Oreochromis niloticus: one gene and its partners. The protein of the gene in region 4 interacts with the protein of the main gene of each other region in a pairwise test. Links are inferred from orthologs where the notes say so. Each region holds a gene or a part of one and is shown on either strand. Other genes may lie near its edges.

Evidence for each region.
Region 1: the proteins of pak5 (region 4) and ccng1 interact in binary tests that used the Homo sapiens proteins (3 or more experiments, as listed by UniProt). The two-hybrid records come from large-scale screens. The link is inferred for Oreochromis niloticus from reciprocal best matches to the Homo sapiens genes PAK5 and CCNG1.
Region 2: the proteins of pak5 (region 4) and atpaf2 interact in binary tests that used the Homo sapiens proteins (3 or more experiments, as listed by UniProt). The two-hybrid records come from large-scale screens. The link is inferred for Oreochromis niloticus from reciprocal best matches to the Homo sapiens genes PAK5 and ATPAF2.
Region 3: the proteins of pak5 (region 4) and psmf1 interact in binary tests that used the Homo sapiens proteins (3 or more experiments, as listed by UniProt). The two-hybrid records come from large-scale screens. The link is inferred for Oreochromis niloticus from reciprocal best matches to the Homo sapiens genes PAK5 and PSMF1.

Annotation. Positions count from the first base shown.
Region 1 is NC_031966.2:26,583,834-26,591,603, reverse strand, and holds the start of ccng1 (cyclin-G1), read left to right. Parts: upstream 1-4,749; 5' UTR 4,750-4,973; intron 4,974-5,877; coding exon 5,878-6,141; intron 6,142-6,228; coding exon 6,229-6,482; intron 6,483-6,813; coding exon 6,814-6,892; intron 6,893-7,112; coding exon 7,113-7,223; intron 7,224-7,639; coding exon 7,640-7,770. Other genes in the region: septin-8-A, read left to right, coding at 3,457-3,511. UniProt on the Homo sapiens protein: May play a role in growth regulation. Is associated with G2/M phase arrest in response to DNA damage. May be an intermediate by which p53 mediates its role as an inhibitor of cellular proliferation.
Region 2 is NC_031973.2:20,994,634-21,002,122, reverse strand, and holds the start of atpaf2 (ATP synthase mitochondrial F1 complex assembly factor 2), read left to right. Parts: upstream 1-4,468; 5' UTR 4,469-4,617; coding exon 4,618-4,691; exon of another isoform or gene 4,692-4,751; coding exon of another isoform or gene 4,752-4,807; coding exon 4,808-4,869; intron 4,870-4,961; coding exon 4,962-5,006; intron 5,007-5,135; coding exon 5,136-5,284; intron 5,285-5,554; coding exon 5,555-5,652; intron 5,653-6,406; coding exon 6,407-6,487; intron 6,488-7,489. Other genes in the region: glucose-induced degradation protein 4 homolog, read right to left, coding at 716-846, 935-1,036, 1,131-1,238, 3,498-3,557, 3,947-4,138. UniProt on the Homo sapiens protein: Plays a role in the assembly of the F1 component of the mitochondrial ATP synthase (ATPase).
Region 3 is NC_031970.2:5,252,345-5,260,135, forward strand, and holds the start of psmf1 (proteasome inhibitor PI31 subunit), read right to left. Parts: upstream 3,006-7,791; 5' UTR 2,885-3,005; coding exon 2,756-2,884; intron 1,536-2,755; coding exon 1,383-1,535; intron 726-1,382; coding exon 643-725; intron 279-642; coding exon 81-278; intron 1-80. Other genes in the region: pigu (phosphatidylinositol glycan anchor biosynthesis class U protein), read left to right, coding at 4,653-4,782, 6,197-6,261, 7,196-7,255. UniProt on the Homo sapiens protein: Plays an important role in control of proteasome function. Inhibits the hydrolysis of protein and peptide substrates by the 20S proteasome. Also inhibits the activation of the proteasome by the proteasome regulatory proteins PA700 and PA28.
Region 4 is NC_031980.2:4,445,307-4,452,252, forward strand, and holds the start of pak5 (serine/threonine-protein kinase PAK 5), read right to left. Parts: upstream 3,008-6,946; 5' UTR 2,656-3,007; coding exon 2,601-2,655; intron 1-2,600.

The DNA of each region.
Region 1 (7,770 bases), on a different chromosome or scaffold from region 4:
AGATAGTGTTATCTTCCCGGCAGCCATGTTGGCTCAGAAAAGGATACGGGGACAGATTCAGACTGACACTGTGTGCCCAGACACTGTAGGAAGGGTCACAGCTTGCATGACACAGCCTGATACTTATGTCTCTGCAGGCTGACCTGCCAGACTGTATCTTGGGCAGGACAATTCTGTTTACATTGGACTGGTCTCACCGATGCTCACGCCATGCAGAGCACAGATGATACTCATACATCCCGCAAAGAGCTGTAATCATGATGAGTTGCGTACGCTTTAAATGCAGCTTGATCCTGGCATCAGCCTTGTAAAACACAGCACACCAAAGCTGTCTCAATAGTCAGTTAAATAGAAAAACGAAAAGAACTGAGTGAGCAGAGTTTCTTGGAAACATTTACTATTAATGGTAAGGGCTTCAGTATTCCAGACAGTAAAATTTTATGAGGCGTTTAGCCAGTATAATTACATGTGAGGTGGATGAAGAGATTTCAGGTATTTTAATGTTTTAATAATTCTTCCTGCTATTCTTATAACACTGTTTTTGAAAAAGCAATAAATGCATTTTTATGCATTTCAAAACAGCTTCATACAATAAGCATATACACAAAGGGATTTATAAAATAATCCTTTAAATATGTCATATGAAAGATGAGGAAATGTTTGTAAAAATCTTACTGTAGACAAGAGTGAGCTGAAGCATTAAGGTAAGATTGCAAGTGGAGAGTATTTAAAGTCACTGTCTAACCAAAAAGTCTGTTTGTTGTTGTTTTTTTAAATACACTCACTGAGCACTTCATTAGGTACACATTGCTAGTACCAGCTTGACCTCCCTTTTTACTTCAAAAAACCATCTTAATTCGTCATGGCACAGATTCAACAAGGTGTTAGAAACATTCCTCAGATGTTCCTCAGAGGTGACATACTAGTGTCACACAGCTCCTGCAGATTTGTCAGCTACAGTGGTCCCTCGCTATAACGCGGTTCACCTTTCACGGCCTCGCTGTTTTGCAGATTTTTTTTTTTTTTCGTGCAATTTTGCATGCTTTTTTTAATTTTCATTTTAATTTTTTACAGCGCATTGTGTTCTGTGTCCTGATTGGCTGTAGATCATTGTCAATCAATCTCTTCCGTGCCGTGTCTCCTGTACAGTACAGAATTTTTTCAGCTTGTCAAATTTACATAAATCCTCGATCGCTAGCAGCGTGACTCTGAAGTGCTGTACTATATGTTTGCAAGTTTTCTCCCCAACAAACACAACAATGTCCATGAAACGTTTTGCACCGTCAAAGGCACCTGCGATAGCACCCAAAAGGCAGAGGAAGATGCTAACCATCGCACAAAAAGTGGCACTTCTGGACATGCTAAAGGACGGTAGACATTACATTTTTCAGATTATAAGGCGCATTAAGCGAAACAAAACAGTCAGATAAGTCAAACTTTACTCAACTCATTCTTCTTGCTTCCTCCACTTCCGTATGATTGAACTGAATTAAATTGAATTGAATTGATTCATTAATGTTAAATTCTCTCACAGCTGCTCTATTCTGTTCTGGACCTGAAATCTGGGTTTGATCTTTGGTTTCATTCTATAATACTGGACTTATTTTTCTACAAAGGTTTGAACTTTGAGAATGTTTAAACAAGAGAGAAAAGTGTGAAAATGTTCATGCCTGTCTCAGAGAAGTGAATAAAGTGTGTAGTGAGGGGTTTTACAGCCTTAAAACATCTATAATAATTGTAAATAATAAAGTTGGCTACTTCGCGGATTTCACCTATCGCAGGTTATTTTTAGAACGTAACTCCTGGGATAAACGAGGGACCACTGTATACATCCACAATGTGGATTTCCCATTCCACTACATCCCCATTGTGCTCTATTGGATTGAGACCTGGTGACTATGGAGGCCATAGTACAGGGGTTTTGTACTGAGGTTTTGTACTTTTGTATTGCGTACAGGGAACTCATTGTCATGTTCAAGAAATCAGTTATCCTGCTAAAAAGAGCCATCAGAAGATGGGTACTCTCGCCATACAGAGATAGTCATGGTCAGCAACAATATTCAGTTAGGCTGTGGTGTTTAAATAATGCCTAGATACTAAGAGTCATAAATTGTGCCAAGAAAATATCCCCCACACCACCAGCAGCCTTCATTCTGATTCTGCCATCCAAATGTTGCAGCACAAATCAAGATTCATCACACCAGGCAACATTTTCCATATCCTATTGTCCAATTTTGGGTTATTTTGCAATAATGAGCAGTTGAACAGGTGTACCTAATAATGTGGCTGGTGAGTGTGTATTGCCATTGTTGGTGTATAAAGAGCTGGGGTGTCAGTGTTTTCCTGTTGGACTTGAGCTCAGAGACAGTTTAAACCTCATACTGGTCACACAGCTAAATGTCTGTCTGGGATATTTGTTAGTAAATGTGATTTAAATGTTAAAGTGTCAGTAATGGGAGTTGAGCTGCCAGCATGTTTCAACCCAAACACTCTTGCATTCCCATTCATTCACTATTTACTTTTGATTCCTGCCATATTTCAGATCCTTCATCCTTTTTTTCTTTTGCCATATTTTGTCATATTTCTTTTCCCCTTCCAGTTGATTTATGGATCAAACATCAGCGGAAACCAGGAATGTTTGTGCCATCAGCATGGGAAAAACGATCTTACGGATCAGAAAGGGAGCCTTGTTCAGTGTATTTAAGTTTCATATGCTGATTGTGCTAAACACAATAATAATAATAAATCAATGGACTGTGTTCATAACATGTAACTTGTGTAATTTTATGTTCTTGACAAGAATGTATGTTCATCTTCAGTTGTAATTTTAAGTCTCTGGTTCTCAATGAGACACTAACAGAACTTTATATTAAAAAATGAATATTGAATAATCTTTCTACGTATATATTAATACATTTATTCACAAGATGCTTTGTAACGTATATGAATATACTGATCTTTTTTAATTGTTGTTTTTCTCAGGTGATATCTTTCAATTGCCTAAGCAGTGTTCTGTGCAGCATTATGAAGAACATGATTAAATTTACTGACAGTGAATCAGGAAATGAACACAATTTCTTTGCCTTCATTTACATTTAAATAAAGAGAGATGATGGGAAACAGAATAGAGCATCAGTTTGTGTGTCACCTGAACCCATTTCCATTGGAATGCCTCAGTGCTTTGGGACTTCCATTGCATGAGCCCTTTGGTTGGCTCAAAGCATTTCATATTGTAGCTGTTGTGTCGTGCCATACCCAAAACACATCTGATGATTTTGATTTATTTAACAGTGTTGCTTGTTTTATTTTTACCTCAATCAGTGGCAGCAACAGGAAACCCAGCAACATGATTTATTTTTAATCAACATGTGCAGTGTTGTTGAATTTGTCACATGACCTTTACTGACTGATGCTTGTTTGGATAAATGATGATGTGGTTTTTCTTTCCTCTCATAGCTTCTTTAGTCTCCCATCTGCGTGCTCCCTAACCTCAGGAAGGAATTTGAATTAGAAGACTTTCTACCACGTCTAAAGATCACAGACTAACTACTCAAGTTTATTATTTTTACAGTGTTAAAATAAAGGTTTTGCTGAACTTTCACTTGAAGTGAGTCAAAGTCTTCCATGTCTACTAAACAATGTTCTTTTTAAACAGCGCTCTGTAGCATGGTCTCTGCATGGCTCCTAAACTGCAAGTATTAAAATATCTCCAATACCAAAATTTCCAATTTTTTTTGTACTAAATGTGCTACTTTTGTATGTTATGTTATGCTTGTGGTTTCTGATAAATGACAAGTTACACTGTGAAATATATACTATAAACTGACATGATTATTGCTGTCAAAGGTACTGATTGTGAATCATTATGATTTAGAAGCACTTTAAATCAGTTATAGTAAATATGCTTTCTTTATTTATATCCAATTATAAATGGTAACCTGTACTACTAACTTGTCAGCTCTTTGTTGTGTTTGCAATATACATATATATATATATATAAATATTAGAGAGAGAGAGAGATTTCATACTTTAAACTGTATATAAATTCAGGATTAGATCTCTTTATGTCATAAGATCTATATACTGGGTCTGTGTAGACCTGCTTGGCAGATTTTTAAATCCTAATGTAATAAAGAGTTACTTTATTCAAAAATGAACAGTGTACTCTCTATATTTACTTTGATTTTTGGACAGAAAAGACCAAAGAAGTGATGGAAAATGCAGGTTCCTTCCAGATTGTTCCAGAAACTTGCCAGTGGCCCTCAGCATAGTATGGTTATTTTTTTTGTGTGTGTGTTCCTTAAACTAACATCTGGACCATGGAAACACTTAAAAACATGAAGTTTAGAAGAAAGTTCTATAAAATTTGTGTGCGTGTGTGGGTCTTTTTTTATATATAGTTTTCTATGATTTCGACACCCTTTTAAAAATATAATCTATTTTACTACCCACTAAAGACATTACTATGTAAATGTTGATATCATTTGTATACCTGTATTTATTTATTAATGAATTTAAAAAATTGTAATCGAATATAATTTATATACCAAAGGAGGCAACTTTATTACGACGCTATTTTGGGTCGTATCCCACCTTCTGACGTGCGATTGGCCCTAATGCATGAATGAGGTGGACCTTGTATGTGACTAGCTAGTTAAATATCCAATTAAAATGTAGAGCGCTTAACGTCACTTGTTGAGGACCAATAGAAAATCGGCATGGTTGGTCATGGGCTTGGTTTTATGCCTGTTTTAACGCCTTCACTGTCCTTTTCCCCGTCGCCTTACGCCAAGGGTAGGGGGTGTGCATAGGCAGAAACTAACCTATGCTTAAAACTTTCTTTAGTGAAAGTTCATACTTACATTTTTGTGTGTTTTATTTCTCCATTCACCCGCTTATTTAAAGCGCGTGGATTTTTTTTTTTCACTTGCTCCTTTTTTTTGAAAATATAAAAAGCAACGTAACTGTTTAAGGTAAGTAAACCCATTTTCCTTATGTGATATATTTTTTATCTAGTGGTGTTCGTGGCTCTAAACAGTAAATGATGTGTCGCTATCAGCCAAAAAAAAAAATGCTACTAGTTTTAGAAATGGATTTTTAGCTAGCGTTAGCTTTGATTGCTAAACAGTTTACGTCGTCAACAAAGAGTAGTTTGTCATTTTCTGGTTTCTCTAATAAAGTATGAAGTTTACCTTACATAGTACTTACAGAGTTATGTTGTTGTTTCACTCTTAGCTTTACTGTTTAAACTGTGTAGTGTCAATTTGGTTTGCTGTGCCATGCCATGCTTTGCGTTAGCTCTCCATTGGTGTGTATGGCAGGGACATGTCTCGACATGACGCCGGTCCTTGCCCTGACATACACAGGCCTGCTGCTGTGATACGGCTACATGTATTGCGGCCTCACAAACTAGCACTAGAGCTGTGGAGCTCGTGTTTTACACACTTTTAGTAGCAGAAATGTCGCTTTAACTAAAAACGGAGAAACTTTATTTAAGTATATCCCTGTTCTATATTCGTCTCATTTCGCCTCCTGTTTATATACAGTCATTGCTCCTGTCCAGTCCAGTTTAGTCCAGTTCAGTGACGGGCATGTGTTAGCGGAAGGCTTGTTGCAGGATCTTCTCTTGTTAGTAAACTACGCTCACTGTATTTGTTTAACCATTTTTGTTTTGGACCAGATGTCCTTTAAAATACAACAGCCTAATATTTTAATTACGTGGCAGACAGAGCCTTGCCTTATTAAAGAGACTAAGATGTTTATCAGAGTTATGTTAGTAGTTAATACACATTTTATGGTCACACAGTTAATCCCAGTGTATCTTTTGTTTGTTTGTTTTTTACTGTATCACTAAGTTTTATTTTCCTGTCTGTGCAGATGATTGACACAGTAACAGGCCCTGTGGCACAGCCCTTTGCAGCCCAGCTGAAGGCCCTGATTGATCTGGAGGGCCGATACCAACCAAAGCTGAGCGGCTTGAGGTTCATTGAAAGCGCCCAGGACAACGGCCTCAGGATGACCTCCCGACTCAGGGAGCTGGAGGTGAAGGACCTGCTCTCGCTGACCAGGTTCTTTGGTTTCAGTTCAGAGAGCTTCTCGCTGGCTGTCAGTTTGCTGGACCGATTTCTGTCTGTCATGAAGGTTTGTAAATGCAGTACATTTTGCTTGCTTTCTTAAAATCTTAACAGTTGTCCCATGCGCTAATATCCATTTCCCTGTCTCCTACAGATTCAGCCAAAGCACCTTTCTTGTGTCGGCCTGTGCTGCTTTTACATCGCTGTGAAGTCCACAGAAGAAGAGAAGAACGTGCCTCTGGCCAATGACCTGATTCGCATCAGTCAGAATCGCTTTACGGTGTCTGACATGATGAGGATGGAGAAGATCATCATGGAGAAGCTCTACTGGAAGGTGAAGGGCCCCACGGCCCTTCGCTTTCTCCGCGTCTTTCACAGCCACGTCCTGGAGCAGCTCGACGCTGAGAGGTAAGGACAGACGGTCACACCAACCTGCAGGGCTGAGCTATGACTCAACGAGATTATATTTACTCTACTAAAATGTGTCTTCTCATATTTGGTTTGAAAGCTAACACTAACCAAAAATATATTTTTTAGCCAACAGGCACAGTCCTGTTTGAAATCGTGTAGACTTTTAGAAATGTGACAGGGTGTTAGAAAACAAATATGCAAGTCCCCCTTTTCAAACGTTACCTTTTAAAAAATAGAAATCCTTTTGGTTGGCTTTTTTATCACTATTTATGTAAGCTGTACCTCACATTCAGTTTGCTTTGACACTAAAAGCATTTTTTCCCTTTAGCATGAAGATCCTGAGCCTTGAGAGACTGGAGGCGCAGCTGAAAGCCTGTCACTGCTCATTTGTCTTCTCCAAAATAAAGGTAAGACAAAACAACTACTCTCTCCACATTGAAAATAATGACTTATTTCAATGCTTTTCTGCGCTTTTCATTGAAAATCAGACTGCTTTCGTCTTGTACACTTCTCGTTTGTTGTTGTATTTCAGGTATAATGTAGGTCATCTGCGCCGATTTACTTTTAAATGTTGTCATAGTTTCTACTTTTTGTTGTTAACAAGAGACTGTTTGTATTTCTGTGCAGCCATCTCTGCTTGCCCTGGCTCTCCTGTGTTTTGAGGCCCATGATGAACATGACCCAGAGCACCTTGACAAAATATCTGAGGCCTTGAGCAATCTGCAGCAGCAGTTAAATGTAAGTCCAGCTCTGAGCCTTTTGCTTTAAAGAATATATACGAGCAGTTCAAACTAATCCTTATTTTAAACTGGGCCTCAGAGACACAAGCCCTTTAAGCCAACATTCTTCTGATTGGTTGCGCCTAGCAGGCAGAAGGTTTGAACAACAGGCCAGTGAGACTTGTGTGCTCATGGCTACACCCGTGTGCCTTATTAAGAATAGGTCCTTCTTATCAACATAGAGGTCAAAGAGTAGGAAAAACTGTATCAAAATGAGCCTTTGCTCAACTCAAACCAAAATGGCTCCTTTTCAACATTATTGCTTATTAGTATTTTTGTCTAAGGTGGTGATGATCCATGCAGTGTAGCTTAATGAATTTTAATGCTAAAGTGTTAAGCAGAGATGATGTGAAGCCTCATCCTTCTTTCCTGCAGATCAAAGACGGGGATCTGGTTTGCATGCGGGAGCTAATTGGAAAATGCTTGGCTGAGTACGCCACCACTAAGTGCTGCAGGCCAAGCGTCCAGAGACTTCGCTGGACTATTTCGGGAAGAACTGCACGTCA
Region 2 (7,489 bases), on a different chromosome or scaffold from region 4:
CATTAGCCTTATGTCAGAAATACAGACATAAGAGTGAGAAGGCACATTTATGTAGGTACAGGCTACAGAGTAGTGCTGCACTTTTGCGAATGCATTATTACAACCAGACCTATATCAATCACCTATCTGATATTGGCTGGTCGCAAATATATTGGTATTGGCTTTCATTCTGTATAATATGATGCAATATGAATATTTTTGCATAGGGACAACATACAGAAAGACTGTAAGGCAATGGTGCCAACAACGACACCCCAAAGACTTGGATGTTAGTTTCATTGGTGGCTGTAAATTGACTCTAGGTGTGAATTTGGTTAGATAAAAATGGCTTGGAGACTATTTTGAACAGCAACAGTTAAACTGCTGCCACAGAATGCACAAAAACACTAGAGATGGAGTAAAAGTGGGGCTAAGTTTGCTTATAACCAGGCAGCATAACCACATAAATTAAACAGACCAAACTGCGGGTTGGACTGTTCTGCTTTGTGTATATAAAATTACACATTTTAAACTGGAGCTGTCTGAAAAAGCCACGTTGATCTGCTAATTATCCGAGGAGCCACAATCGAGAAAACTTGAGAGAAGATGACTGAATGAGTTTTCCCAACCAGATTTTCAGCCAGTCTAAAGCAACTTTTCAGAGGCGAGCCAACTGGTTAAAGCTCCTAACACAAGTCAACCTTGAATCACAATAACTTTTAGTGTGCTGCGTTACCATTCGGAGCTCCTGTGGTAGTAGTAGCCCTCAATTGTTGCTGTGGATTTCTGGAAGCAGATGTAGTAGAATCCTGCAAAGGAAGCGCCGCTGATGTCCTTTATTGTGTGGTCAGGGACCAAAAACTGTTCCTAAGGCAGGCAGGTGAGAAAGACCAACAGAAATATAAAAGCCAACCTACTGCAGAATTTAGTTAAGTTCACTCTTCGGTAATCATACCTTCCACCTCATGAAAATATAGTCAGAGTTCTTCAGATCCTCGTAGTCAAAATCATCAGAGTTGAATGTCTTTGCATACTGGTAGAAGGCCTGGAACTTGCCCTGGACACAAAAACGTTTACAGGATAGGACAGAATAAATCAGTCTGATGGAGACTAATTTTTGTAATTTACAAATAAAAGTGGTTTCACCTTACCCAGTGCTTACGATCCACATCCTCATCCGCATCCCATTTCCGAGTGAGAAATGGCCGTTTCCTACTGATGATCTCTCCAGCAAAGAAAGTGGTCAGAGTTGGATATTCCTAAAACAACAACGAGAAGCAATTGAAGACACATCTGGTCACTTCTACTGTTTGCAATTAAAAAGAAAGTAATATTAAATGAAACAAACACATCTGTCTATTTAATGTTCAATTATATAAAAGACAGTTCTATTCTAAAACACAGCAGAAAGTGATCATTTAGAGACTGACATATAAGAGGTATGTGTAATAAGCCAACACAATGTCACAGCTAGTTCACCACTGCATTCATACAGTGGGAATGTTCTGGATGCTCTGTACAGCAGGAACACAAAGACGTGAGCTGTTACCCAGTAATTACTTCTGTAATAACCGAGGACTCTAATTATAGCATGTATTGCGTTAGCTGTAATTTACTCTGTGAAATAGAGTTTAACACACGTCCTAACAACATAGTGTTATGGTTATTTTGCCAGTGTGCTGATAACATCTTATTTACACTATCTTTGAATGTTGCTATTAAGGCATGATTAGTAGTATAACATCCACCAATCAGAAGAAAGTTGAATTTAAGTGAACGTGGTCTTCAAGGAAGAAGCAGAGGATGAAATGAAAGCCCAATAAAGATTATTCAGAATCATCCAAAGCTACTCTAGCAGAGGCAAAGGATATAAATTAGAGCTGGAAGTAAGCTTTGTATATCTAAATTTAAAAAAAGAAAACATACACAGACATCAGTCACATTATCACAGCTTCCTTAACACTGGTTCCAGGTCTCTAAGACCTTTACAGATACGGTTCTGGATGCCAATGAGTCTTGGTAAATGGTAAATGGACTGGTTCTTATATAGCACTTTTCTACTTTATTTGAGCATTCAAAGCGCTTTATACAACATGATGGATTCATACAAGCACTTCTTTCTATGCCTGCATACTATCTAACATTCACACACATTCCCACTCTGGATGCATCTGAGAGCAATGCGGGGTTAAGTATCTTGGCCAAGGATACTTTGGCATGTAGATCGAACCACTGATTATTAAATGAACTGCTCTACCTCCTGAGCTACAGCTGTCCTGTGTTGTGCTTGGTTTAAAAAGAACCCTAAATTGAAGCAAATTTCTCTTTGTGTGTGCGCCTAGCAAATTTAGTGCAAAAAGAAATCTCCTAGAATCACAAATTTTCATTAGGGTAACTTGAATAAGTGCAAATGTCTGTAATCAGAAAGCAATTGCAAAGATTTGTCCTACAAGGCATGAAAGGAAAACACCTTTGCTAAGCTACAGCTTGACACTAAACATTTAGATTAAGACCAGAGGCCTCAATTATCAAGGGTACTAAAAATAAGTTTTCAGGAAATCATTTAACTTGTAACTAAAGTCTTGTTTTGACATTTCGTTATCTTCTGGTTATGTGTGGCCATGTGAGTTCAACCCGTGATAAACTTTGCCTTTCTTGACACCTGGTGCCAAGCAGCCTCAACACAAACTCAAATGGTGTGTTTGTGAGCTCAAAATGTAGCCTACTGAATAACACATGTTGGGTGTCTTATATCTTCTCTACCATTGCCATGATTCTGTCTGTGGCCGATCCAGACTACCCGCTCATTTCTGTAGGTATTAAAGCGTTATTACGTTAAGCCGTTAACAAGTTAACCACAGGATTTTAAGGACCTGTGTGGCAATCTCAAAACTACTTTTAACTATTAATCCAACAACATTTTTTATTGATGAGACACCATACATATTAGAACAATGTGTTCTCGACAGCCCAATCAAAAAGGAGTTGCACGGCCACAATAACTGATGTGCTCTGCCTCAGGGGGAGAGTGCAGTTACTGATTCAACTATTTCAAAGAGCACTCAAAGAAAAGGTTCAATAGTTGAAATTAAACTAGAAATTGATATTTTACAGTGACCAGCAAATGAATTAGTAGATGTTTAATGGAAAAAGTGGACAGTATGTGCAAGAAAACCTTTAAAAAATCTTGCATTTGAAGGAATTTGCCTAAAGAGATTTTTGAACAACACTGCATAAAGCCTTCAAGAAGCTAGCCTCTCTACTCTGGGCAAATAAACCTTTTGCTAAACAACTGTACTTACTTTTTCCATAGTGAATTTTTTTTTACATCAATTGGTACTTTGGTTGAAAAGCCCAATAGTCTTCGTGTTGTCTTATGTTAATGCCTTTTTCTCTTGGCACTGTTAGACATGTTTGCTACTACAAAAATAGTCACAACAATTTCCATGACAGCTGTGGCCAGACATGGTATAAATTATTTATGCTCATGCTTTAATGAAGGGAATCACCTCTCTCACCTCTGTTAGTCCTTTTATCTTCAGGTAGCCACATAAGTAGGAATCCTCCATGGTCACATGCTTTAAAAAGAAAGCAAGACATACAATAAACTACATCACATTGACATCAGTTCAGATCATGTTATGGTTTTACAAAGGCAATGCTAAATATTTAATTTCTAACAGCAACCTCAAATACAAATAATTTTCTACTGAGGTAAATGTTTGTGTAGGCCTTCACACCAATTCTGAATGTCCTTATTTGTATTTTTAGTAATAAATTACTTCAGATGCATTAAAACATTGACAACAAATTTAAAATGTTTGTTTGTATTCAGTCGTGGGCACTGCTACGGGACAGGACAGGGCTGATTTTACCAGCTGTCAATCATCATGCCGCCCGTTTGACAGATGACCAAATGCCTCTGACATCTCGACTGAATAACGAAATAGTCGCTTCACTGCCCCACCTGCAAAACAACCTCCACGTCATAAGAGTTTCCTTTGCTTTTCTGGTGGCCCCTGAATTTGGAACCGCTGTACAGGAGCGAAGTGACAACACCGGGCTGCTGCGTGTTTATCGGGGGCGGCGGGATAAGTGAGGCCGAGGATGTGAAGGCCGCGGTGGTGGAGTCGCTGAGGTATCCAGCGGGGACAGGCATGGCTCCGGCTTCGCTGACCGGGCACCGACCGCGGGCAATTGCCGTCGAGGAGAGGTACTCTGTCGGCGTCTACAAAGAGGTGGCGGAGAGCCGAAGAGGTCCAACAACATTAAAATTCCACTTAATTCCGCTACAGTTCAGTTTACCAGCAACCAAGCTCCCAAAGAAGTGGACTTCGACGCGGTGTTGTAGCCAGAAGTATCCTCCGCTCTCATTGGTCAACTGAGTCTGGCTTTCGAACATCTTCGAAGCTCATTGGTTCGCCGTGCGGAAGGTTTCGTGGAAATATTTGGATGTAGTTTTTCAACTGTTGTGTAAGGGTGTGTGGCGCACGTATAGAAGCGCTCTTTAAACTACATTTCCCGAAGAAACTAGAAGCCTCTACGCTGCTGTCAAGCGCCGAAGGTCACACGCGTGTTTTTGAACACAAAGATGCTTAAGAACTGAGCAGCTGATAAATGCAGTAAAAATAAGACTTTATGCTAATAGGAAAATATGCGTGCATTGCTAACTCTTGTTTAATGAGGACGTTTCAGACACAGACATCTCGAAGGTGTGTTTTCTTCTCAGTCAGCCTTACTTAAAAGCATCACATCTTCACATACTTTCCGCTATGCTTAGGTGTATAGTTAGACTTCAGAGTCAGGTTGGGAATGCTTTTTCTCTCAGTAAGGTGTGTCTGAGAAATCAGCACTACGAATGTGTTGCGAGATACTCCGCAGCCACAGCAGGTAAGAGCAATAACCACCGTGAACGAAAGCTCCGGTCATCTGCAAAACATTTGTGTCATTTCACCCTGATGTGGCGTTTTTCTGTTCACCAGAGAGGAAGAGATTTTATCAAGATGTCAGCATATCTCAAAGTGAAGGTATGTGTAGTATGGTCATTAGTAATCCAGTCAAGTATAGTATTGTAGTAGCAGGTTTTCCTGCCCCATCTTTATGCTTGTGTCATTCCTTAATTTAGTGGATATCTTTTGAAAAATATCTCTATATAGGTGGTTTATATGAGATAAACCTCGACCAAAGGAAGCTGAAAACTCCAGGAGGGAAGCTGTTCACGGTGCCAAATGAAGCCTTGGCCATCGCTGTTGCAACTGAGTGGGATGCTCAAAGGGACACGCTCAAGTTCTACACTATGCACTTGGTAAAGCATTTGACATGGAGTTATAGCAAAGTGTCACATGTTTTGGGGTTTTTTGTGTTTGTTTTTACGGTGGCGCCTATGTTACATAAAATAATCTTGAGAGAAAAGGAAAATTTGAGAGGATTTTTATGATTTGATAGATCATATTTATAAAAGGAATGTTACCCAGATCTTCCAACAGCTTGCAGGACGTGTACCTTTGAACTAACTTTGCCATGATATTTATACAAAACTTACAGTAATATTAATTTTGGGAAACTCTTCCCTCAGACTACCCTGTGCAACACGGCTCTCGACAATCCCACCCAACGCAGCAAAGAACAAATGATCACCGCTGCTCTCAAGTTTCTGGAGACTGACACCATCTGGTATGGCACTCGTTTATTTCTATTTATTTTAGGTTTGTTTAATTTTCTGAAACTTCAAACATAAACTCATCTGCAAATAAATGTATATACATCTACATAGTCTATATATCCTATAAACACCCATGTGCATTCACAGTTCCACGTGCGCATCTGATAATTATTTAAATTTGAATTTATACAAAATAAGACATGAAATAAAACAAACTATTTTATGTTATTAATATCCAGTAACACTTATACTCGCCTTTTTCACCTTGGGAAAAAATGTCCTTTTGCATAGTGCTATGACACTTTAAGAACAGTTCGAATTGCACTACAGTTAATTGTTCTTTCTTTATAGCTTTAAATATGTATGCTTTCCTGATCATAATGATGATGTTATTCAGCTATTTTCCTTAAGCCAACATCAGAGTTACAGGATAAATATGGAAAATTCTACTTTTAGACTTAAAAACAAATTTATTTTTGTTACAGTAGCAGAGTAAATGGATATCTGACTCCCCTTCCTGCTGATAAAACCTACTTGTGTTACACTGTTATATATCACATTTTAAAACATTTTCCTCATAGAAGCCACTCATTTATTCATTTTATTAATAAATCAGTGTTTTAACACCTATAAAAGAGACATCGACACACTGTAGACAAACTTAGCTGGTTATTTTCTGAGTTGATGTTTTTTATGTTGCTTAGTTGGCACCAATTGATTGGAGTTATTGTGACTTTAATATTGTAGGATTTATGTTTTGTGTAGTTACAGAGTAGATGAGCCCCATGGTTTAGTCGAGCTGCAGAAGAATGAATGGGACCCTGTGCTGCAGTGGATTGAAAAAAGGTAAGAACAGCTTTAGCTCTTGTTGTACATGCTGCAGTTCTTTTCAGGGTATCCTTTCTTTTCCTGATAACAATAATTAAGTGTAAAAGGCCTGATCTGTGGTGTTCACATTGCTGTACTTAATTCAGAATAGTTAAAGAAAATCTTGTGTATGTTCTCCTTATTTGAATAGTGATTTGTGCAGAAATACAGGCATATGAAAATTTAATGTAATATTATTAACAGAAAGTTACACAGGTGATCTTGTGCAATAACGGATAACATAAGCCTTATAATAATGTATCTGATTCAGATCAGTTCAATTGTATTTATATAGCCCAATTCGTAACAGCAGTTACCACAAGACACTTTATGTTGTAAGATAAAGACCTTGCAATATTAGAAAGAAACCCCAATAATCACGCCCTTTGACCAAGCTCCTGGCGACAGTGGGAAGGATAAACTCAGTTTAACAGGAAGGAAACCTCTAGCAGAACCAGGCTCAGGGTGGAGCAGCCATCTGCCGGGGTTGGGGGAGGGAGACGGGGTAAAAGACACTATGTAGAAGAGCCAGAGATTATATAACTAATGATTAATGTAGAGTGATGTATAAACGCACAGTAAGTGAAGAATATGTCTGTGAAGGTTCTCAGTCATCCAGGTCATCGTAGTCTATAAGGAGCTTGGAAAGAAAACAGCGTCTGGACTTGTTTAAGTTGCTTGAAAACCCTAGAACTGAAGAAGCTTCTCGGATGAGAGTCTTCAAGCAACTTAAACAAGTCCAAACGCTTTTTTCTTTCCAAGCTCCTTAGACAGTAAGTGACGAAGCACTCAGTGCATCATGGCATATTGCAGTTTAACTAAGGGAGGGTTCAGTGTCATCTGATCTATAAGCTTTAAAAGGAAAGTTTTAAGACTAATCTTAAATGAAGAGATGTCAATATATGCTCTCTCCTTCTAGTCCATGTCAATACTCTGGCTGTGATATTCTGCATCAACTGAATGACTTTTCAAGGAGCTTTT
Region 3 (7,791 bases), on a different chromosome or scaffold from region 4:
TACATATTTAATGATAAGTTTATGAATAAATCTGAGTTTTGTGGTAAAGTTTTGCATGCACAGTTTATATCATCACCAACCAGTGAGGGTGTGTCCCCTGGCGAGGATTCCTGCTGGGAATGCGGAGGGGGTCACTGTCCTCTCCTCTTCTTCTCTGCTCCTCTTCTTCCTCATCCCGCCGACTCTTCCTCTCTGCTCTCTGTCCTGTCGGTCTGTCCTGGGGGGGCAGCAGCTGAGTCTTCACCTTCTCCGACAAACTGTCTGCATCTTTGAACACACTGCAGAGAAGAGAGATGACTTTATTTATTTTCCAGCTCTATATTTTTATTTTCTGACTACCAGAGTAGCTCAGCATGATTCACAATGCAAAATAATCTTTAGTTATCAAACAAACTGCCCTTCAAGGCCAAACTCCCTTTCAGACAACCTTTTTATAATAGGCTTTCTCCAACAAATAAAAGATTTGAACAACAAGTCGGTGGGGTCAATCTGAGACAACCGTATAAGGCAGGCTGAGGACAAGGCATATTTTATTATTATTTATACAGGATCCAAAATAGTAACACAACAATTAAAATAATCATAACAACATAAGTCAATAGAATAAAAGCTTAATAAAGTAGAGCAGCTCAATAAAATAACCTGTCAAATGTGTGTAGCTGGTCAGTGTTCACGTGGTCGTTGATGTTCACCGTTAAGTCTGACACCTGCTGCGTGCTGGAGTTCTACACACACACACACACACACACACACACACACACACACACACGATCCATTAAAAGGATAGATTAACATGTAGAATAATATCTCAACAAACCAGCAAATAGTAAACTCAACCTAAATCATATTTTCTTAGTTTACACAACTGTGTGTCAGATCTTTGCATAGATCTACATTTCTCCAGTCTTACGGTGCAGTAATACGACCTGTATATGAATGACAAAAACTAAAACTAGCACTGAACTAAACACTAAACTAATCTAAACATTTTAATCGATACAAACTCGACTGGACCGAAAAAAAAATACAAATTTAAAAGTAAAGTGTTTGCGACCTCACCCCTGGCTGCAGTGATGTCTGCTCTGAACAGTAAGATTCAAATTTAGAAAATCAGACTTGATCCCTTTTAAGGCTTTTCATGGATCCCTACATCAGGACTGAAATGCAGGATAAACTGCACAGTCTATGTCAGTTCTCCAATGAAAAAATAATCCAGAGGAAAAATTCTTCTTCTTAAGGGGAGTTATGCAAAGTTTCAGGTTTCTGTTGTCATTAATAGAGAGAAAACCCCCACACACTACCAACATTTTTAAGGCACTATTTTAAATTGCCATTATCTAGAAAACTAATGAGACCAGTCCTACAAATGTTTATGTGCTTACCATCAGATTGAAGATCAAGGTGGAATCAACAGTGATTGCCTTGAGGAGCATTTGGGTGTCACTGTTGTTGGCTTTGTATCGCAGACTGTATAGCTCTTTGTTGTTACTCCAGTCAGCAGGCAGCAGCTCGGACTTCTTATCACTGCTGCGGGCCTGGAGGAAGAAGGTCACAGACGCCGTGAAGACAGATAAAAACCTAAAAGCAGCAGCAGAAACCTGCTTTTTCTTTTCACAATATTTGTTATCAGTATTTGGCCAGTTCACTGCAAATAACAAAACAATACTTAAAATATACAGCAAGAAATATGTGCTATTATTAGATATGACATATACTAATCTCATCACAAAGGTAAGATTGTTGTAAAAAATTGTAAATAAACTGCAGATTCTTGTGTTGCTGCAGTAAAACAGACAAAAACTAGCTAACATAAACAAGATCAACTCTATAATTAAAATGTGACAAAACAAAATTGGTCAATAACGTAAAAATTACACATAATAAAATAAAAAACTAATGTGGAAAAAGTAAATATAACAACAATAATGATACACATAAAAATCCAGTAGAGTGAGTTCATTTTTTAGGTGCATAACAATTTGTCATTATTTATATCTAAAGAAAAAAAAACACCTTTTCACCAAATCATCATGTTCAAAATAAAGAAAAATGTTTCATTTTATAAGTGGGTCACTTACTCTTCCTGTTTACTAAATGGCAGGTGTCATTCCAGAGTGATTTTATATAAAACAATCACAGAGAGATGCCGAACGCTTCCCTTTTCACGTTAAATCCCATTATAAATGCTTCATTTAAAAAAAAAAAAAAAATACTACTGATTACCTGTTGATTTCTGTAAAATGAACATGGGGAGAGGATGGAGGATAGCAAGGCTGCACACTAACACGAATCTGTGTCATAAACTCCCGTGGTGTTTCAGGATGACTGCCCCCAGTGGGTTAGCCAGCTAAAGATGACATGACAGTTTTGGTAAATTGTCGCTCTTAAACCAGATGCCGTCAAACTGAATATCAGCCATGACAGCTGGATTAAAGAAACCGAAAACGCATTTTTCACACTTTTAAATTCTTCGCGTTAACGTCGGCTTCACACAGGAGGTGATGCTTGTTTATGAAGCTATAGCTAATCTACGTTGAATATTACATACAGAACTCCACTGCAAAAACCGACATTTTAAGCATTTACTGGACATTACGGTCCGAAAAACATCGAAAACCACATATAGAGAATCTTTTTGCTAATATTTAATTTGTATTTCTCAATTTGGCGTAAGAATGATGAAAAAAGAAAATATTATCTTCTCCATTATGTGGGATAATTTAACACAAGATTTAGCTAAAATAAGCGAACTCACCTCGTCTCCTGAGCCGATGCACCTGTATCCGTTCTTTACCAGCTCCCAGTGAACAAAACACACAACGGCGTCCTGCGGGCAGGTTATCTTACCTGCGACACAGGTGTACAACACCTCCAAGCCAGCCATGTTTTCCTTCAATCTGCCAACATCGGTACAGTTTCAGGCAAAAGAAATGAAAACGAAAGTCTGGCCAGCAGCTTCACTGAGTCAAGCTGCAGTTCGGTGCCAAGCAACAGGAACCATTTCCGCTTCGCGGCTTTTCAGTTTAAAAGCACCAGAGAGCTGACCAAACGGTACCTATCTGCAAATAAAAATATCCAGTGATATTATGTGAGGTATTAACTTTTTTCATTGCTCTTTATTTCTATTTCATTTATTATTTCTAGCTTCAATTACGTTTCATTTTGATTCGCTCTCAGATTAGGTTTTCTTATTCAGTTTAGTTTTTCTTAGTTTCTGGGTTAGTTTGACTATAATGTGGGGGTATTTGTAAGAGGGAAATTTAGCCGAAGTAATAAAATACACACTCAACACTTCATGTCATGTAGACATGAAGTGTTGCGTTTCTCAGCCTTACAAAACATGTGCACCAATGCACCAAACTAAAATATTTTTCTCGTACCTGGGTTTATTTTTTATTTTGTTTGGGTTAACTGTAATAATGTTGAAATCTTCCCTACTTTAATTCATTACATCTTAATAGAGCCTATACCTCTGTATAACTGTTAATCTAAAGTAGGATTTCTCAAACCCGCGGGCCGGGGGCCACTTGTGACCCACGTCACATCTACTTTGGGCCCATATGTTGACATGAAGAATTATAATGCAATTTGGCCCTTGAACGTATTTATTTATATATATTTATATATTTAAAAATGATTTAATATGAAGGCAACATGAACAGAGAGTACAAACATGTTGAGGGATTGGTTTTGTTGGTTTAGTGAGAGAGTTATTTAACAATTTTCACTAGCAGTCAAAAACCAATGTGTACACTGATGTCTGCATTTTTATTTTGTCAAATATGAACAAAATTATGGCAGAAGTGCTGCCATGTGTCTGGCCAGAAAGAGAGTACCAATTTGTTTATTTGGTAGTTCAATGAAAGGCTTCAGTTAATGAAGAGTGAGGGAAAAAATACATTCACGTTTGCAGTTTTGCCTTTTTATACAATATTTGAAATAAAAAAAACCAAACGAACAAATTAACACTACATTTTCTAAGATATTTGTGGGTGTTTTCTTGTTTGTTAGTTTTTGTACCACTTGAAAACTAAAGTGGCCCTCGGATGAGATGACAGTGCCAGCAGTGGCCCACAGCTCATTTAAGTTTGAGATCTTTGACCCCAAAATGTCAGTTGATGAATTTTCAGATGGCATTTTTATGCTTGCTATTGTATTCTTTGTGTGAAGCTATTTTAATGAACCCTAACCTGATCAGAAAAAAGTAAATTTATGTTTTTTAACAGAGTCAATTTTGTTTTTGAAATAACCGCACGGTTAGCGGAAGCGTAGTGGCTCACTGTGTACGGCTTTTTGTTTTGATCCAACACAAATAGTCTCCGGATGAAAACAAGTATAGGACAACAATTGTTCCGCTTTGTGTGTTTGTCCTGTCTGTCAGAGTGTGTTTCACATGTAAAATGAATCCTCAGCTGACATCAAGCAAACATGTAAAAAGATAACACATGCACCCATTATCTGTATGTCTATTTTTTTGATATTCATATTTCTATATAAATTTTTCTTTAATTTCCAGCATTTGCTTTAGAGTACATTTATTTATTTATTTATTTATTTATCTGGACTTGTGGTTCCTTCTCTCCTTCCTACACATTTGGAGACTTCATTTCCCGTCGTGCACCTCGCAGGGCGGACAGCGCTTCCTTGTCAAGATGGCGGCTCCCTTGACTCTGCTGTTGATTGTGGCCGTTACGATCCGTGCCGCTCTGTTCCGGTCCAGTTTGGCGGAGCTGATTGCAGAGAGGGTGGAGGTGGTGTCGCCGATAACCGCCTGGAAGAGAGGTAAGCGCGGGTCCAGCGGCGGTTTGGAGCCGCTGCGGTCGGTTCACGTCCGGGTCCCCTCACCTCCCTCTCATCGGTGCTGTTATCCGGTAACTCGGTCAAACCGGTTCAGCTGCGAAAATCAGCAGCTGAGATTCAAATTCAGAAAGCTTGATGATGTTTTACTGACATTAAGCTAACAGCGGATACTTTTTACTTTCTGTAGGGGAAGATTTAAACAAGTGTTTCTTTGTTATTTCCAATGAATGGAGCTCAGTGGTTGTTTCTCTGTCAAACATCCATCGACCACTAGTAGTAATGACGACCAGAGTCTCTGCCAGCGGCTGAACAAAGATCTGCACAGTCTATAGTATTTGTGGACCCCTTTAAATCCTCCTGTGATCCACATTAGTTTCCACGGGGTCATTTGCGCATAGTAACGTAGACGTTACACCTGTAAAACATCTGGCTGACGTGTGTATAATGTTACATCAGCAAGTGTTTAAAAATTCATTTTCACAGCTACAGCCAATTTAAAATCACCACTAACAGGCACATGGCCCCTGCCTTCATGACCTTCTTGCTGTGAGGTGATAGCGCTAACAGTTGCACCACTGTGCAGACACCCTAATTTGGACAAAAGTATACAAACAGGCTAAAATATATATATACACCCCCATGAATAATTGGTTAATTGACCCTTAGCAACTGACTACCTCTTCTGTAATCGTTGAGTTATGAGGGCTCAAAGTGATGGAGAAAATGCACATACCCCCACCCCATGTGCTTCGATGGCCAGTAAATATCTGAAAATAATTAATGTACAAAAAAAATCAACTGGTTCACAGTGGGAGGCACTCGCTGATTTGACTTTATTATTTGACATATTTATATCAGCTTTCCATTAGTTACCACAGACAAAGGTTTTGTTTTAGATGAATTTGTGAAATGTTAGTGGACAGTGTTTAAGTTTCCATTTAGCATATGATGACACAGTACCTGACAGGAGCCAGAGGTGCAGGTTTGCAGACAATCTGAGCTTTTTCTGTAAAACAGAAAACATGACCAACATGCTGTGAGACTCACACAGAAACATTTCATGCATTTTTCATTAGGCAGTTGTAACTGGAAGCTGTGGAACTGCTACTTTCAAGAGGAGGCATTCAAAGATAACAGCCCAGTGCTGGTAAAAAATAATAAAAGTTGGAGATTTTAACATCATTTATGATTTTGGCTTCTAATGATAGTGGAATAGAGTGAAAATGGTTTAAAATGTAGCTTCACTCTCGAAATGTCAGACCAAATTCACCAAGTTGAAGTTCCATAAATGCAAAAATAAACATTTTCCATAGTCACCAAAATAATTGTGGTTGTGATTTTTATTGTAATCAAGCAGTCTTAATAAAACTGTTTCTCTGTTGCTGTTTCTCTGCAGTTGTTGAAGGTTTGGCTCTGCTTGATTTGGGAGTTTCACCATATTCTGGAGATGTTTTCCATGAGGTGAATCCCTCTCTCTCACTCACACACACACACACACACACACCTATTACAAAGTGTGTGTGAACATTGAAGGTTATATTTGTTACATGAACCTGAAAATAATCAGAAAATTAGAAGGAGATGGTCTGGAAAACAAAGACGAAACATTCCAGATTCTGCTCATTTCGTGGTGAACCATCACAGTGGAAGGGAACTTTAACTTCTTTCTACAAAACGTCAGATTTCCATTGAAGCAGCATTCAGGTAACACCCAGGTGAAAACTTTGCTTACTGAGCAGCATTGTAATAGTGAGAACTGCATCATCAGAACAAAGTGAAAGTGTCAGAGTCAGATCTTCTGAGGGAGGAGGGGCTTCCTCAGAGTCGGGCCATGGCTGGACCGAAGATTTCTAAGAGGGGAGGGCACGATACTCTAAAACATCCAGAGCGAGATCGGGGTGCCCAAAAGTCAACGCATCAAACTTTGTTCACAGAGATAGAAAATTAACTTCAACAAACACAAAATGTATTAAATAAAGAACACAAGAGTCAATCAGCAAAAGAAGGCTGCCCGTTGGTAGACTCGGAGGATGAGTAGCATCTGTAAACCACCTCTCGAATGTCACATTTCACCAACAAGGTGCCGGTGCTCAGTCTAAAACTAGTTTCATGCATTTCCACCAAAAAGACCTTTAGCTGTTTCTCAGAAAGCACTGAAGTTGCTCTGCTCGGGTGCCGTGTTGGTGGAAAACGGACAATAAATGTCTTATTTAATTATTTAGACATGCTCGGATGTTTCAGTTGCTCCTGGTTCTTGATTTTTCCATTACATGCTTGGACCTCATAGATGGTGTATTTCTACAACTGAGATCTGAGTCAGCAGAAAATCCACAAATGAGGCATGTTGATGTTTAGATGTTCATGTTGAATTCTCCTTCTGCTCTGATCCTTTCAGACTCCTCTCATCATCTACATGTTTCACTTTTTGGTGGACTACGCAGAGATCACATTTATGGTGAGTCTGAATAAAAACATCATTTTGAAGCATTTTGTAGTGGAGGCAGTCTCATTACTGGAGAGGGACGGCTCAGGTGGAGCGGACTTGTGCAGAGGATGGATAGGGAATATGCGTGTTGGACAAGAGCTGCCAGGCCACAGAGAAGATTCATAGATGTAGTGAAGGAGGATGTTAGGGATCTGGTGACATGGAGGCAGATGATTGTGACAACCCCTAAAGAAGAAGGTGGTTAAAATCTGAAATGTGATCAAATTGATTGTAAAGCCTCCCACAAACCTTGTTGAGGCAGATGTTGATGAGAGCTGGTTCTCCGAGTACAACCCAGAACCTGAACGGCAGGTTTCAGTCTCAGTCCACAGTTTTGAAGTCCAAAGGCATCAGCAGAGACACCAGGAGCGTGCTTGTCCTCTCATGTTCGATGCCCACAGGATTATACAGGAATTCATAAACCAGGATTCATCGTTAATGCAAAGGTTTAATGTGATTCCCAGTAACATATGAGAGACCAGATTCAGCCCTGAATAGAGTGTCTC
Region 4 (6,946 bases):
TAGCATTACCCAGCTGTTACATACACTTTTAATTCCTATAGAAGTAGTATGTGTATGCTAGTTTTTCACAAGACTCTAATCCTGTGAAAAGTTTATTTTTCAAATGATTGTATGTAGCTCTTGGTCCTTGTTTGACAAGAAAATAGTGATTAAAAGGAACCAAAGTAATTTATAGACACTGAACCAAACAACAAGCTAAATAGCTAGCACTTTTAAAATCGGCTAGCAAGCTAGCTAGTTTGTTTTATCTGTCTGAGGGTAACTGAAAACCAATTTTTGTTTTAAATAGGTGTGTAGTGGTAAATCCAGCAGTGTTATCAATATGAACAAAATCTATTACAGTAAACAGCTTTAGCTAAACGAGAGGGATATTTTAATCAAGCTTTCTTTTCACAAAAGACAAAATGTCTTTTGTTTTCCTTCTTGCACTTGTGGGTAAGCAGCCCATAGTGAAGGTGGAAACCCATGACCTAGATGGTACTTCTCGGGAATAAGATTATTAAAGGCTAGCAGGACTTAAGTCGTCAAGGCCAAGCTCAGCAGTAAGGAGACACAACAACACATGCAGACAGACACACATAAACACAGCACTGAACGTGTGTTAGACAGCAGATGGAGACACATGTTCATGTACTCGCCCAGCCCAAACGTACTCCTGCAGCGCTTTTAGCAGCTTCTTTCTCACAACAGTCACAAAACAAGTTCAGACTGAGATGTACTTGAAGCGTAGAGCCCACTGGGAATTGCTGCCACGCAGAAGCCAGAGGAACTACTTACTGCACAACTTCTCCAGGCTGCCGTACGAGCACCTCTCGAGCTGTAATTTATGGGCGCATTGTAAAGCACTTTGAGAAGTTTCACACTAATGCCTGCAAGGTTAGCCCGCCAAAGAGTAACAATGTCACTCTGATGAAAAACTGCACCTGGTAATATATGGCAGAGATTAGAGATTTGCAGAACCGTCATTCCAGCTGTGCTGAACTGCAGTGAGCTGCGACTGCGTGTGTGGTGAACGGCCTCGATCCGATTTTTCACCGCACTGCACAGAAGGATAAGCAGTTTACTCAAACAGCTAATGAAGCTATAATAAAGCATCCTGCCTCTTTATTTCCACTGTAACTCAACACATGGGTATGGCTGAAAACGACCGGTAATAAGCAGAGTACTGTTTGTAATGCAAACACTGATTTCTTTTAGAAGCTACACAACTACTAAAAGCTAAGCAGACAGACACTACTGCATACAAAGAGATCGTTTAGGATGCTGAGGAAACAAGTGATCAAACTGTTTACCTTCATATCTGAGTGTGTTGTATTCATTTGTTCATAAAAAAAGGAAGCGTGAATATCTAAAAAAGAAAGCACACTGGTGTGCGACATGCCTGCATACCGTTTAATCTGTCAGAGCAATGACATTTGATGTTACGAGAAGCATTACATAACATTTAACATCCTCTACACGCAAAAAAGGAAGATGCTCAGCCATCCATAGGCTCATGCAAATGCATTCAAATGTATTAACAATTAGCCTTCAACGTCATTTAATGGGATTCACAGTAACCACACACACACGCTATATACACCAACACACTTAAATGGGCTACTGGTCCCAGGGCAGAGATCCTGACTCCCAGGCTGATTTGTCTCCAAACCATCTGTCACCATCTGAGCCTCCACAGGCATTTCCCCTTCTGTACAACAGCACCTCAACAGACACACACACTGCAGTGAACCGGGGAGTCTGCACGTGTGTGTGTGTCAGCATTCGTGTTGTCTGTGTCTTGTATACACGCTGTATCTATTTTTGGCGCACGCTTTAATGTTCTGTGGCAGCAGAGTCTATTCATCATGTTTTCCAAAGAGCACATTAATTTTCTGTCCTTTAGATTGTAATTTAGAAGCATAATTTGGTATCGAGACGCAGAGCATTCACTCATGCATTAAATATGCAAATACATTTCATACATAATTTAAAACGCAACATGAAAAAGGACATAAATGCCTTCTGATAAACAAGCTGAGGGAGGGCCAATGCTCTCTACTTTGTTTGTTCCTACAGAGAATAGGAGGCACTCCTAATTTAATTAAAAGGTCAACAGGTTCATAGTGAAAGCCTAAGCCCGGTTTGCCCTTTGTGTTCAAGAAATTACCCGTGTTTCTGTTTAGTTTTACTTGAAGTGGTGGCAAATGAGCAAAGTGAGAAGCAAATGTGTCCCTGCATCCTCACAGGTAGTCTTTGTTCCCCCTCCTTCCTCTTTTGTCCTGCCCTGCTCTGTTGTCTGCTGTTCACTTCTCTCTCATTTGCATTCACTTGTTCTCTCTTCACCCTGTTCCTTCAGATGATTTAATTGGCTCCAAAAACTGTTTACACAGACATGCATTTCACCTTCCGTTCCCGAAAGATGTATTTCGTCGAGCGGTAAACAACTCGGTCTGATGGAGAGGCTTTTAAAAAAGATTTTTATCATTTGCACACTGTTCACAACAGTTTGTAACATTCCTCTCTCAAATGAGGTTTAAAGATTTTGGGAGCAATGGGAAGCTCCAGCTCTGATTATAAATATACCTTTACACACAGACTGCGTGAATCAGAGGTCTTACCTGGCAACAAACTGACGGTCTCTTTCAGCCAATCAAAGCTCTCTGGGTAGGCCATAATGAGGCAGACAATTAAGTGCTCCTCAGATGTTTCGCTTTGATGTCAAATTACACTCCTGACAAATCCATTATGCGCCTCAATTTTCTTTGCACAAAAATCACTGAACAGCGAGTCCACCTCTCCAGTTGTAAGCTGATGATTCCCCCCGGTGGAGCGATGCTTATGAGAAGTCATCGAATTGACAAATCAGGTCACACTCGGGACCCTCTGCGTTCCCCGGCGAACTGTTACTAGTAATGCTACCCTGCCTGTATGCTCTGATAACTCCCAATGTGAGATGCACAGGACACGAAAAAGTGCCTACGCCAGCAGCCCGGGCCGAGGCACGGCCAGACAGCTTAAGCCTGGACCCATCCCATTTTACGTTTATTGTTTGTCTAACTGGGTCTGACCGGCCGCGTCCCAAACTGAGCTGCCTCTGACCTTCACTGTCCGCCTCCTACTTACTTGTCCATCAACAGAAGCACAAAAACAACAGAGCGTGAGTGTCCTCTGCGTCCCCACAATCCACAGGATGGTGTTTGTGTGCTGGTCGCTTTGGCCAACACACACACACACATAAAAACTGTCTTCGACCGATGCCAGCGTGTGTGGATATCAACGTTTGTGTCAAGAGCTGCATCACTAGGCGGCCTATCACTGCCTCTTTCACACGGCAAGTCACAGGGAGGAAGACAGAGAGTGTGACGGAGGAGATAAGATGGAAGAAAGAGAGAAAAAAAAACAGCTGGTCCAGTCAGAGACTGTGACAGTCTGGCCGTTTGCCGACAAGAAGGGGACATTGAGCGGTGGCAGCCGTGGACAGGCCTTGTGCTGAGGGCAAACAGTCCCACAGAAGCAGTGCCAGGCTGTCAGGATAACACTGTACAGCATTTTTCCCTTACAGAGAGAGAGAAAGAGGGGATGGGAAATTACACCTATGCAAGGCAGCAGGCCAAATACAAATAAAATATTGAACGCACTGTTGTTTTCAAATAATGCCAATATGAAAAAAAAGGTAGCCTGAGCAAAAGCCAAGGGATGAAAGAAATCTGCAAGTTTAGTATATCTAATGTATACTCGTGGACCGCAAGGCTGATGATACGGTACTTTTTAGGCTTGAACAGAGATTGCTGCTGGTTGTGCTGCACATGGATGTGGAGCACATCCTACTGCATTACTGAAAAACTGAATTGGAGGCACAAAGAATGCAATGAACTCCTGAAAGAACATTCATTTTTAGCAGGTACTCATTGCTATGTGTTTTAATGGTCAGGAAATGAGACACAAGAAATGTGTTTCTGCAGACAAATTTAACTGTAAGCATTTGTGTCATGTTACATCAAGAATTTAAGGTCCATTTCTTCCTGAAGACCTGAAACAAATATTACAGGATACATTTTTTCCCTCAAAAGAGTGAACTCTGACAATTTGGGGTTCTTTTTGGTTAATCACTTGGGAACAAAGGAAACAAACAAGTGTATGACATATCTGTGTTCTCATGATAAATGAGGACTGTTTTTACTTTGCCAGTCACTGCTGCAACCCAACCCATGTCAAAAGAGCTCAAAGTTTGAAGGCAAGCCATCCCATATTCCAGTTTGCGTTGCACATTTCACAGTTCACCTCTGCCTGGCAATAATTTTGCCAGTGTTTGCAGACAAGTTGGGGTGTTCCAGGTTGCTAGCTTGCAACCTGCTAGCAACCAAAGCACAAAGCACAAGGAGGTTTTTTGGTGCAGCGCCACAAATCTCTCTACAACCAATTTCACACACGTGAGTGCCAGAAACCTCCATCAACCACTCACCAACTTTTTGTGGAATCCACCAGATGGTTGCCAGATGGCCCCTTAATGGTCTCCAATCCCATGTAAATGGGGCGTAACTATAAATACTTGTCATTAAATAAATTTGGCTTATTTTGCAAAATATCAGCTTTTCATCTGATGATGATTGTGAATCATTATATCTGGATGTAATGATGTATGTAATTTTTCTAACTGATTTATCAGCCTTATAGATGTCAGTATGTCAGGCCGCTCATCATGCAGTTTTCTGTGGCATTCTCAAAGTGAAGTATGGTCCCACTCCCCTTAACAACCACAGACCAGTAAAATCAAATGCTAAATGTCAAGTACTGTTAGGGCAACAGTTTGAAATTATTTGCAGTCACTGGCTCTTAACATTCGAAGAACAAAACACTCAAAACTTAAATGGTCAATTTAAAGCAATGGTCTAATTTTCGGAGTTCATGCAATAAAAAACTATATCGTTTTTTTTTTTCCTTTGTTCAGAAGGGAAAATTTGTTGTTATGCAAAAAATAAATAAATAATTGTCTTTATCATGTGGTTTGTCACTATTAAAACACTGGTTAATTTAAGGAAAGACTGTGAATTTAATTCCACATCCTATATACGCAGTCGCACATGGAGATGGCAACATAAGCATTCTGGAGGCGGAAAGCTTCAGACTATATAAGTAAAAGAGACGGTTAAAATAATGGCATTTCACGCTGATTTGGCTAAATACCACACTCTTTAAGAGCATCAATACCCTCCACATGTCTAATGAGCGGGTACATCGTAGCTGTCACAATACAGATGCACGTGATGCTTGACGCAATCATAATCCCTGCAAATGACAGAAACATTTGCGAAAGGGAAATATCCAGGTCAGCTGCTTTCTTCAGGTCTCTCACCGATCTCTCACTATCGAGGGAAAGGATCAGCTAAAGTTGTTATCTCATCATGTGATAACATAATAGATGGATATAGCAAAGAAGGGTGACTCTGGGAGGTACCGAGAGATCAGGAGAGTTATCTAAATGAGATCTTTGCAGTCCTGAGGACAGAAGACTGCATATCACTGCCTGAGAAAGCGTGTGTGCAGATGTGTAACCATGTCTATATGTATATATGTGTATAGCTGTGTAAAAGGCTGACCCCAAACTAAATCTGTCTCTTCTTTTCAACGACTATTATGTGAATCGAAGATGAAATCTCACAAAAAAATAGAACCTTTTAATATTACTGCTTTATAAAGAACCAATCAATACAAATGTTCTTGTATAAACCAGCTGAACATGACCACCCAGGTTTGCATGCCATTTGAGAGAAAAGGATGTTGTTAACTGGGACTGACTGACTGATCTATGCATTTAGGACCACTTTTTCAGGTCTAGGTCTTCTGCTGCAAGCTCAGTAGATTAGTAGATCCTCTTCCCCCGCCCCAACCTCCAACTCCTCCTTAGGCGTTTCCAGGGAAGATCGGATACAGTATCCCTCCAGTGTGCACTAGAGCTGCTTTCAGTTAGCCCGAAATACCATCAGACAATGTGAAGGAGCCATACTTCCACCTTCAAATATCATTGCTCCTAAGTTTTAAACTGAACCCAGGCACCACTACAACTCATCCTTTTGATAATACATTTATTTAGTTTATGACCACAGGTTGATTATTAAGTCATAAAACTCATTTGGATGTTAGCCCTTCTCAATATGCACAATATAACTCTATCTGTTGATCTAACAATTCATCTTACTCCAGAGCAAGTATATAATTACATTTTTTATCCCTCTGCTGATATCGGTCATCGTGCAAACAATTAATCTTGTTTTACTGCACAGCAGCGTTGCACTTAACATGATTTTATTGCAGCCCACTGCTGATTTGTGATGGGCATCAGACATAGTGGTGTCTTCGAAAAGTGGGAAGCATGATTATGCATCACATCTGCTGCTGCTGCTTCAGCTGTTGACTGTTTTAATAAACAAGACAAATCTTCAGGCCAAACATGAATGTATTACGAGAGCTGGATTATGTCACCCCTACTCAGCCTTTAATGCCAATTTTATCCCGTCCCAGGGGTCAAGTGAGGTATTACAACCAAAAAAAAAGCTGCTTTAAACAAACCTATATTCAAAGGAATATAATAAATTACTTTAATACTGCATTGAAAAATATATTTAATTATTTTTTACAATTAATAAAGAGGTCTGTAAAGCTGTTGAGTTTTGATCTTTACATTATTATTTTTTTCCTCACCAAGAATCCAGTTCTTATTATTTATTATAGCACGTGAAGCCAAACTAAAACCATCCGACCATCATTTCAGTGAATCCTGGGCATTCATGTTTCAATGTTTCAAAAAAATGTTTTTCCTGATCTTACATTTTGACAGCCTCTACTTTAGGTAAACACAACACAGGTACAGTCAACTATCGGACAAAGATGCATCGTTTCCTTGCATCCAACTCCTTTGTCTGAGTCCAGGCTTCAAAAATATGCAGCTCTCCAACACATCTATTCA